Linked DNA regions of Oryctolagus cuniculus. The protein of the gene in region 3 interacts with the protein of the main gene of each other region in a pairwise test. Links are inferred from orthologs where the notes say so. Each region holds a gene or a part of one and is shown on either strand. Other genes may lie near its edges. The genes, in order: DUSP13B, CWF19L2 and CALCOCO1.

What was found.
Region 1: the proteins of CALCOCO1 (region 3) and DUSP13B interact in binary tests that used the Homo sapiens proteins (3 or more experiments, as listed by UniProt). The two-hybrid records come from large-scale screens. The link is inferred for Oryctolagus cuniculus from reciprocal best matches to the Homo sapiens genes CALCOCO1 and DUSP13B.
Region 2: the proteins of CALCOCO1 (region 3) and CWF19L2 interact in binary tests that used the Homo sapiens proteins (3 or more experiments, as listed by UniProt). The two-hybrid records come from large-scale screens. The link is inferred for Oryctolagus cuniculus from reciprocal best matches to the Homo sapiens genes CALCOCO1 and CWF19L2.

The regions. Positions count from the first base shown.
Region 1 is NC_091446.1:66,150,066-66,153,716, forward strand, and holds part of DUSP13B (dual specificity protein phosphatase 13B), read right to left. Parts: intron 389-3,651; coding exon 168-388; intron 1-167. UniProt on the Homo sapiens protein: Dual specificity phosphatase that dephosphorylates MAPK8/JNK and MAPK14/p38, but not MAPK1/ERK2, in vitro. Exhibits intrinsic phosphatase activity towards both phospho-seryl/threonyl and -tyrosyl residues, with similar specific activities in vitro.
Region 2 is NC_091432.1:99,116,194-99,119,844, forward strand, and holds part of CWF19L2 (CWF19-like protein 2), read right to left. Parts: intron 354-3,651; coding exon 237-353; intron 1-236.
Region 3 is NC_091442.1:56,692,916-56,696,566, forward strand, and holds part of CALCOCO1 (calcium-binding and coiled-coil domain-containing protein 1), read right to left. Parts: intron 3,168-3,651; coding exon 2,977-3,167; intron 922-2,976; coding exon 763-921; intron 401-762; coding exon 252-400; intron 1-251. UniProt on the Homo sapiens protein: Functions as a coactivator for aryl hydrocarbon and nuclear receptors (NR). Recruited to promoters through its contact with the N-terminal basic helix-loop-helix-Per-Arnt-Sim (PAS) domain of transcription factors or coactivators, such as NCOA2.

The DNA.
Region 1 (3,651 bases), on a different chromosome or scaffold from region 3:
TGAATGGGACATCATCAAATGGCTTTAGTTCTTTACTTCACAGAGTGGGAAGGCTGCTGGAGAGATTTGGGGCTCTAGACCCCCCCCACCCCTCAGTGCTACTGAAAAATGCATGGCCCCAGCGCACATCCCATCCCCCACCCCCCACAGCCGCCCCGGGAGCTCACCCTGGGGAGCATTGAGGGCAGCTCGGATGTACTGAGCAACGGGCAGAAAGTAGACGCTGAGGTCGAAGAAGGGGTTGTCATCGGCCTCGATGCCGTAGTACTCCAGGGGCATTCCTCGGTAGAACTTGGCACCCGTGTCCACTTGAAACTTGCCTGCGGCCGCATTCACAATATGGGTAATGCGCAGCTGCATCAGCTGGCTCTTGTCCCGGGCTGTGTACCTGCAGTGGAAGGTGGGTGTGGATCTCACCAGGTCACACGTGCTGTGTGACGGGTTGGAAGTCGCTTCCCCAACCTGCACTGTTCCCCTCGGAGGGGAGCCACTGGAGCCAGTGAATGGGGGGGGGGGGGGACCCGAGGAGGAGCTCTTCTAGTTGGCATTTCACACTCACTTTCATCGAGGCCAGCTTTCTGGAGGGCAGTTGGGCCACATGCATCAGAAGCCTTAAAAATGTATGTGTACTTTGGGGCCGGCGCTGTGGCTCACTTGGCTAATCCTCTGCCTGAGACGCCAGCATCCCATATGGGTACCGGGTTCTAGTCACGGCTGCTCCTCTTCCAGTCCAGCTCTCTGCTGTGGCCCGGGAGGGCAGTGGAGGATGGCCCAAGTGCTTGGGCCCTGCACCCCATGGGAGACCAGGAGAAGTACCTGGCTCCTGGCTTCGGATCGGCGTAGTTCCGACTGTAGTGGCCATTTGGGGGTGAACCAATGGGAGGAAGACCTTTCTCTCTGTTTCTCCCTCACACTGTCTGTGACTCTACCTCTTAAATAAATAAATAAAATCTTTAAAAAAAATGTATGTGTACTTTGCCCCTAGCAGGTCTCCTAACATCAATCAGAACTATGCCCAGAGGTGCAGATGCTGTGGCACAGTGGGCTAAGCCACTGTTGGAAATGCAAGCATCCCATATCAGAACCTCAGTCAAGGCCGGCGCCGCAGCTCAATAGGCTAATCCTCCGCCTGCGGCGCTGGAACCCCAGGTTCTAGTCCCGGTTGGGGCGCCGGATTCTGTCCCAGTTGCCCCTCTTCCAGGCCAGCTCTCTGCTGTGGCCCGGGAGTGCAGTGGAGGATGGCCCAAGTATTTGGGCCCTGCACCTGCATGGGAGACCAGGATAAGCACCTGGCTCCTGCCTTCAGATCAGCATGGTGCGCCGGCCGTGGCAGCCATTGGAGGGTGAACCAACGGCAAAAGGAAGACCTTTCTCTCTGTCTCTCTCTCACTGTCCACTCTGCCTGTCAAAAAAATAAATAAATAAAAATAAAAAAACTTACTTCTCTTCGTAATCGATAGATTATCTAAAAATACAACAGGAACATAAATGTTGTAAATAGCTCTATTTTCAATGTGTGTCTATGAGAAATACAAAAACAGCTCTCTCTCTCTCTCACTGTCCACTCTGTGGGACACCTGGATGGAATTGCTGGCTCCTGACTTAGCCTGGCCCAGTCCTGGCTAATAGAAGATCCCTTTCTCTCTTTGTCATTTGCTATTCAAATAAATAGATCAATAAATCTTAAAGAGAAAAATAAAATGTGCCCACAGACATATGTGAACTGAGGGTAGTAATATTAAAAATAATGACAAGTTAGGGGCCAGCACTGTGGCGCAACGGGTTAACGCCCTGGCCTGAAGCGCCAGCATCCCATACAGGCACCAGTTCTAGTCCCGGCTGTTCCACTTCCCATCCAGCTCTCTGCTATGGCCTGGGAAAGCAGTAGAAGATGGCCCAAGCCCTTGAGCCCCTGTACCCGCATGGGAGACCTGGAAGAAGCTCCTGGCTTCGGATCGGCGCAGTTTCGGCTGTTGCAGCCAATTGGGGAGTGAACCATCGGATGGAAGAACTCTCGCTCTCTCTGCCTCTCTTTCTCTCTCTGTGTAACTCTGACTTTCAAATAAATAAAATGACAAATGAGGGAAAACCCTCCCAAGTATCCTATTATGGGAGCTTAAATGTGGCACAGTAGTCTTCCCCCATCTCTGGTTTTGCTTTGTGTCGTGGTTGGCCACGGTCTGAAAATACTGAATGGAAAATCCCAGAAATACACAATTCATGTGTTTTAAATGGGGTGCTGTTGTGAAATCTTTGGCCATCCTGCCATGTCCAGCCCAGCCTCGGGTCGCCCCTCTGTTCCACGCAGGCTGTGTACACTGCAGCCCTGTGGACACTTGGAGCCCTCTAGGTTGTCAGAGGGACCACGCTGCTTGTGTTCCTGTGACCCTTAGTCTGCCTAACACCGTAGCTGTTCTGGTCTGCTCTTATGTTGTTCATCTCTTCCTGTGCCTAACTTATGAATTAAAGGCTCATTGAAAAGTGCACGGGAGAAAATATGCATAGGGTTTGGTACTGTGTGTTGTTTCTGGCACCCGCTGGAGGTCTTGGATATGTTTCCTGTGTATCTCAGTGAGGAAACACTGTGCAGTCACCGAAATGTCCCTCATGCTGCTGAGAGGGGAAAGCTGTTCACGCTACGCTGAGAACCTGAGGAGAATATACAATACAAACCAGATGTTTTAATATATGGAGTATGACTCCATTTAAAAAAAGCTTTCTATAAAAGCAGCTCACAAAATGGGATTATCAAATGATACCATTTTTGTGAAAAAAAAAAAAAAAACATGTATGTGCATTTTTTTAAAAGTCCACAAAAATTTGTTACTAGTTATCTGCAAAATCCATATATTTTGGTTCATTTTTCTTTTTTTCTTTTTTTATTTATTTGACAGGTAGAGTTATAGACAGTGAGAGAGACAGAGAGAAAGGTCTTCCTCCTGTTGGTTCACCCCCAAAATGGCTGCTATAGCCGGCGCTGCGCCGATCAGGAGCCAGGTGCTTCCTCCTGGCCTCCCATGCAGGTACAGAGCCCAAGGGCTTGGGCCATCCTCCACTGCCTTCCTGGGCCACAGCAGAGAGCTGGACTGGAAGAGGAGCAGCCGGGACTAGAACGGGTGCCCATATGGGATGCCGGCACCGCAGGTGGAGGATTAACCAAGTGAGCCACGGCGCCAGCCCCTCATTTTTCTAAAACGTAAAAGATACTCTTAGGAAAAAACAACAGTTCTATACACGCACACACACACACGCACACATACACACACCTTAGAGAAACTTCTGTATATTTATGTTTTCCCAGGATACGTGCACTAAAATATTCCTGGAACCACTGTTCATAGTACCCCAAAACTAGAAACAATTCATATGCCCATATACAGCAGAATGGATTAAACTGTGCTGTAATCATGCCATGGAATATTACACAGCAGAGAAAATTGAATGAACTGCAGCTATACATAACAATGTGGATGCCCCTCACAATTCCAAGGAAATAAACCCAAGCACAATTCTCTCTCTCTCTCTCATTCCATTCACATGCTTGTAAAGGACAGGTGAAACTAACTCCAGGACATTGTTTATAGATGCGTGTTATCTGAGTTCTGTTTCCACAGTCAAAATTAAAACTAAGGAGGAAAGGAAAATGTGGAA
Region 2 (3,651 bases), on a different chromosome or scaffold from region 3:
CATATTGTGTTCCAGTTTAGAAACAAAAGTTTTCAAAATGCAGAGTACTTATGGGAAATAAAACTAAGAGATAGTGAACGCTGGAAACATGATCTGCAGATACAGACAACTACAAAAATGTTTAAATCAGAAGGTAAAATTATTGAATGAAAATACAGACCCTGCTGGACTCTACCACACTAGTTTATAAAAACTGCTCATGGGCTTTAAAATGACAATGACATTTTCATGCTTACCTGAATTTCCTCCCAGATGTCCTCATCTAGTAATGTGGCTGCTCTATGGTGCTGCAAAGGGACTATCAGGCAGTGCCCCTCAGTAAGAGACTGGAAGTTGGGTAAACACAAATAAACCTATCGGGAAAAAATTTTAAAGTTGAAATGCTACTGTAATTTACTCACACTTGTAGCTAATAATTAACACAGTACACTTGCTTAGAAGAAAACGTTTATCATAACTATTTTAAAAAAAGATTTAATTTTTATAACTATTTTAAAAGCCATAAAAATGGTTTTTAATAAACTGGAAATTCAGAATATAAGTGCAATTTTCACTGCTACATATAAAGATTATCCAAGGAAGGAAAAATAAATGATACTACATCCTTGATCTAAAGAAAGTATATACTTTGAAAGCCCTTAACACAGTTTCACAAGACTACAAAGATACATGGCATGGCCTGGTAATGGCAGAGTGCTCTAATCGATGGACTATTAATCAGACCTTTTACCTCTCACAAGCTGAGAAAAGAAAACCTAGCCAAGAGAGAGGAAATGATCTCACGGTGACTTCACTGCTCGAGTTAAGCTCTTTTTATTTCCATACATGTATTACTTAAAACTGGTGCTACTTTTCCCACTAAATACAAACTGTCTTTTAAAAAAGGAGAATGGACAAAAGATCTCCTAAGGAGCATAAATAACTTCCTGCAAAAGGATGTTTTTTCTATTATTTTTGTTAAATTGTAGTTGGAAATATTTTATATGGCAGATAATTATTTTATAAAATAGTGGGCAGTTTTAAAACTCTGCTGTGAACAAAGAAAGAGTGGCTACTTAAATTTATACTGGAGGGACCAGAACTGTGGCGCAGGACTTAAAGCTCCAGCGTGTAACGCCAGCATCCCATATGGAAGCTGGTTCCCAGGGAAACACCACTGGACTACAGTCTCAAACATTTCCCAGTGCACAACAGGAAAAATTTAAGTGTTATTAGAGGTTTAATTTATTCTTATATGGAACAGAATAAAGAAATATAAAATATATATATAAATGTGAGAGATCTATATGGTAGTAATACATATGTGATATATATGGAAATTATGAAAGTCTTGAAAAGAGATGTATAATTTGGGACATGCTCAAGCTGACTTGCCCCAAATGGTAGAGTTAAAAACATACCAGGGGATTCCAATTCAATCCCATCAAGGTGGCATGTACCAATGCCATCTCACTATTCCAAGTGATCAATTTCAGTTCACAATTGATCATAATGAAAGGACTAAGAGTCAAAGGGAGCAGATAAACAAGTCTAGTACCTGCTAACACTAACTGATGGAATAAATAAAGGGGAGAGTGATCCAACATGGGAAGTGAGATACTCAGCAGACTCATAGAATGGCAGATGTCCTAAATAGCACTCTGGCCTTAGAATCAGCCCTAAAGGCAATCGGATCTGGCTGAAAAGCCCATGAGAGTATTTCAGGCATGGAAAGCCAAGACACTCTGGCAAAAGATCTCTGTGAGTGAGATCCCAGGGGAAAGAACAGGTCTTCAAAGAAGGAGGTACCTTTCTCTGAAGGGAGGAGAGAACCTCCACTTTGACTATGACCTTGTCTAAACAAGATAAGAATCGGAGAACTCAGAGGGCTTCCATAGCCTTGGAAACTCATGACTGGAGCATAGGGAGACTACTGATGCCATAGACAGGAGTGTCAATTGGTAAAGTCAACAACAGGAGTCACTGTGCACTTAATCCTCATGTAGGATCTCTGTCCTTAATGTGCTGTGCATTGAGATTTAATGCTATAACGAGTACTCAAACAATATATTTCACTTTGTGTTTCTATGGGGGTGCAAACTGTTGAAATCTTTACTTAATGTATACTAAACTGATCCTCTGTTAAAAAAAAAAAAAAAAGAAAAAAGAAATTATCAACTCCCAACTTGACTCTCACTGGGATTAAACATGACAATAGGTCTGATCTGATTTCATCATCATTTAAAAAAAATCATCTATTATTTTTCACTTTATGTTTCTGTGTGGGAGCAAACTGTTGAAATCCTTACTTAATGTATACTAAGCTGATCTTCTGTATATTAAGATAATTGAAAATGAATCTTGATGTGAATGGAAGGGGAGAGGGAGTGGGAAAGGGGAGGGTAGTAGGTGGGAGGGACGGTATGTGGGGGAAGCCATTGTAATCCATAAATCGTACTTTGGAAATTTATATTCATTAAATAAAAGTTAAAAAAAAAAAAAGGTACAATATGTCAATGAGTCAGTAAGTTCAGGTATGTTTTACTTTCTGAATCAACAATCTATGCTATGCATCTTGGGTATCTTAGCCAAAATTCACTGACATTTTCAAGGTTCATTTGGATGAAACCAACACATCATCATCAAATTAATTATGAATATGGATATTATATATGGGCAAACATTGTTATGATCTCTCTAAAACTACTAAGTTTATTGAAGCAGCATCCTTTAGAACACAGGAAAAATACAGAATGGTTTATTAGATTCAAAAAAAAAAAAGAACTTTAAAAAATTAATATAGGCAATTGGCTAAGATGGGTTTTTCCTTTTTAAAAATTGGTTACATATTTAGTGAAGTTTTTACATTTACCTTTGAGATAACTTATGGAGTGAAAGAAAATTGAAAAAAACAAGGGTAAAAAATGAAGCAAAAGAAATCAAATTGATAAACTGACTGCTTTAATGATCTAAAGATAGTAAGATTACATATAATGTATGAATGCAAATGTACATAAACAACAAAAATAAAAATATGTACAGGGCCGGCACTGTGGCTTAGCAAAAAATGCCACCGCCTGCAGTGCCAGCATCCCATATGGGCGCCAGTTTGAGCCCTGGCTGCTCCACTCCAGCTCTCTGCTGTGGCCTGGGAAAGCAGTGGAAGATGGCCCAAGTCCTTGGCCCCTACACCCATGTGGGAAACCCAGAAGATACTCCTGGCTCCAGGCTTCAGATCGGCCCAGCTCCGGCCGTTGCAGCCATCTGGGGAGTGAACCACTGGATGGAAGGGATGAAAGACCCTTTCTCTTTCTCTTTCTCTCTCTCTCTCTCTCTCTCTCTCTGCCTCTCTGTAACTCTGCCTCTCAAATAAATAAATCTTTAAAATAATAATAATAAATATGCACTATATATTCACTAATTCATTAGCTCCTGAAACTGGCATTCACTATTTAATCTTTTCTACTATCACTTTCTCACTACTTTCTTTCACTGCTCCATGAATGCCAATCATTTCTTCTTCATACGTTTTTACACACTGATACCCCTCCTGAAACATCATTCATTTATACCTTCAAATTTCTTGCTCCCTCCCATCATACATAATTTACTAAAATATCTCAGAGGCATTTTCTAGGCCACCTTATAAAAAAATACTCCCTCATAATTTTA
Region 3 (3,651 bases):
ATCCGGTTCTCTTCTTCCTAGTCCTCCACCCACAGCTCTTGTGTAGCTTCTGCGGCACAACCAGCGGTGGCTGTGATTATTTCTGAAGGTGGGAGATACAGGAGAGCCTTAGGAGGGATGGAAGAGAGCTAGGCAGGAAAAAGACATCCCCAGGACCTGCAATAGCCTGAGTGAGGCTGAGAAGGGGAGGCATGTCTGCCTGCACCAGGAGGCAGGAATGCGGAGGGCGTGAGGCCCTGGGGTCCCCTCACCTGTCCAGCTCCACCTCCTTCGTCAGTACTTTCTCACTGATGGTCTGGATGTCGTCTTCCAGCTCCAGGATGCGTGCCACGTGGTCGCCCTGCTGCCGGCTCAGGACGTCTCGTTCTTCCGTGACCTCCCCATGGGACCGTGCAAGGCCCTGGAGTTAGGGGTTCCCCCAGAAGATGAGGGAGGTTATCGCTCATCTCTGGAGAAGCACGCCCAAGTTTTCACCGCTTCTGCCCTCCATCCCGACTCCCTCCTTGAAAAAGAAACTGTAAGGGCACACGCCCTCACCTGTGACTCCGGCCACCTTGCACCTTATCCCAGCGCGTCAGCGCTCAGAGCGCTGTCTCCTTACACATCGGGACGGATCTCCTGGAATCTCAGGTCTCAGCCCACTCCCTGCCCGCTGAGCCTATTCCTGGGATGCCAGCAGCACCCGAGAAGCCCACCGCCATCTCTCCTTCACTCTCTGTTGGGCACGCGGCCAGCCTCACCCGCTCCTGGCCCGACTCCCACCTTGTACTGCTCCAGGAGCTCGGCGTGCTCCTGCCTGCCAGCTGCCAGGGCCGTCTCGAGCTCCTGCACGCGGCTCCTCAGCTCCGTCACCTGGCCCTCCAGGTGCAGCTTCCGCTGCATCAGGTCATTCCGTTCTTGCTGGCTCTCATCCAGCTGGTTCTACGGGGGGCAGGTGGGAAGCGGTGTGCTTAGCGTGCACCCAGTTCTGAGGGTCCACCCCTCTTGCTCTGCGGGTGCACGTCGGGGTTGGGAAGTTACATCAGCATGGGCGAGGAGGGCGAGCAGGGGGAGGCCTGGTGCGACTCCTGGCCACCACGCAGCCATTCACGCCAGCTTACAGTTCACTGTTACCTGCCCTTTCCCCACACCAGGCTGGGCCCTTCCTCACCCAGCAACTGCGAGAGTCCCTCATCTGGCAGAAGTCTTTCTCTGCGGACGCAGACAAAAGAGATGATTCCCCAAGTTTCACCCTATTTTTTCTGCAGTCAGATACACTTGGGCTCAAATCCCAGTACACTTTTTCCCAGCTAGGTGACTTTGAACACGTTGTTTCATTTCTCTCAATCTGTGTCCTCATCTGCAAAGTGATCCCTTAGTCTTGGTTGTAGGTTTTGTTTTGCTAATTAATCTGAGAGGCAAAGAGACAGAGAAAGAGATGGACAGAGAGCTCCTACTACCTGCTGGTTCACTCCCCGAATGCCTATAATGGCCAGGACTGGAACCAGGAGCAGGAACTCAATCCAGGTCTTCCACGTGGGCAGCAGAAACCCAATTATGTGCGCCATCGCCACTGCCTCCCAGCATCTGCATCAGCAGGCAGCCGGAATCTGGAGCTGGAGCTGGAGCTGGGTGTGGTCTTGTGCTGTGGGACACAGTGTCTCACCGCTGGGCAAACATGCCTGGCCCCAGGCATGAGGTTTAAGTGAGAAAAACTAATTCGAGAACAGAATACAGTGTAGCAGGTCACACATCTGATTTATGTGACATAAAAACATTTTCCTGTTCTTGTGTTGACTCCACCTATTTTTTTAGACTTGGGGTTTCAGAGGGCAGAGTTTGTTTAAATCACAGAAAAGCTACTCATTCTCGCCTTCTGAAACCTCCTCAGGCTTACCCTCCTGGCTGGGGAGTGTACTTCCTCCTCACCCGGCCTTGAACTTCCTTTAGGAAGTCTGCCTTGCTAATATCTGTCTCCACTCCTTAATTCTTCTTATATATGATCAATAGAAAGAGACCACAAGCCACATAAATAATTTTACCCTTTCTAGTAGTCACTTCAAAGGTAAGAAACGTGTGGAATTAGTTTTAATATTTTATCTAATCTACTCTATCCAATATGGTACATCCTTTCAACATGTAAGCAATATAAAAGTTACTGAGATCTGGAGCCGGTGCTGTGGCGTAGTACGTTAAGTCTGCCACAGTGCTGGCACGCCATATGGGCACCGGTTTGAGTCCCAGCTTCTCCATTTCTGATCCAGCTTCCTGCTTATGGCCTGGGAAAGCAGTGGAGGATGATCCAAGTGCTTGGGCCCCTGCGCCAGTGTGGGAGACCCAGAGGAAGCTCCAAGCTTCAAATCGGCCTAGCTCCAGCCGTTGTGGCCACTGGGGAGTGAACCAGCAGATAGAAGACCTCTCTCTCTGTCTCTCCCCCTCTCTGTCTGTAATTCTGCCTCTCAGATAAATAAATAAGTCTTTAAAAAAATAAAAAATGACTGAGATCTTCCACATTATTTTTTTACACGTACTAAGTCTTCAAACTCCATATAGCATCCCTCAGCATGGACTAGTCGCATGTGGAGCACAAAGGATCACACGTGGCTGGGTCTCTGGCATCGGATGGAGCGGGAAGGGGCCCTGCCTATCTGCTCTCCCTCCTCCCTGGTCTTGGAGGCAGTTCTCATCCTGCCTTTCTCAGAACGTTCCCTGGCATAGCCTCCTTGGACCCTCTGCATCAGCCTGTAGGGCCTGGGGCAGGATGTGGTAAGAAAGGCCAGTTCTTATGAAGCCCTGGGCTACGCTGGCCCGTGGGGGCGTGCTTACAGTCCGTCTACATTACACGGAGACTTTCTTGCAGGTAGGACTTGGTGTAACTCCCGGTGAGGTCTTTTGTTGAGGCTACACGTGGAGGAAGCAGGAAGTGGAGGAATCCCCACCCCCCATGCTGTCCTCCGGCTCCCTCTTCCAGGGGCAACTCTGTCGCTCTTCTCTCACCTGCAGTACGGTAGCCTTGGGGACCACGAGCAGGATGTCAGAGCCGCCGTCCGCCTCCTCCAGGGTCACCAGTTCATCCATGGGCCTCGGCTCTCGGAACTGGAAAGGGGGGCTCTGCCCGCACACCCGGCCCTGGCGGTTCACATAGCGGAACTGGTAGAGCTGGGCTCCCGGTTTGGGCAGGTAGCTGGCTGTGGGGAAAAGGCCGGCCCCGGGCCCCCAGTGTGATCCCAGGCACGTCCCCCCGCCCTTGGTGTATGTAGCACAGTACCCACCGCCCCTGGCTTCCTGCTCCATGTTTTGTTTCTCCGTCCCATGGAGCAGTTCTGTTCCTTGGGGTAGCCCTCTCCCTTCTCTGGTTAGCGCTTTCCCTCCTCTGCTTCCCAAAGCTCCGCCTCCCTACCAGACGCTGTGCTAACAGCTTTGCCTACAGCCAGCCTCTTTGCCTTCTAGGATGACAGACAGAGAGGCTAAGTAACTGCCTAAGGCCGACCAGCTTTTGCACAACAGAGCCGAGATCTCAGTGCAGCTCTCATGGCCACCTTCTCTCTCCCCTGCCTCCCAGCTACACGGTGGACTCCCTCTTTGTCCAGGCAGGAGCAGGACCAGATGCCCTGTGAAGTCCCCGATTCTGCGCTAATCCCACAGTGCCACGGCTACTAAGCCCTGTTGGAT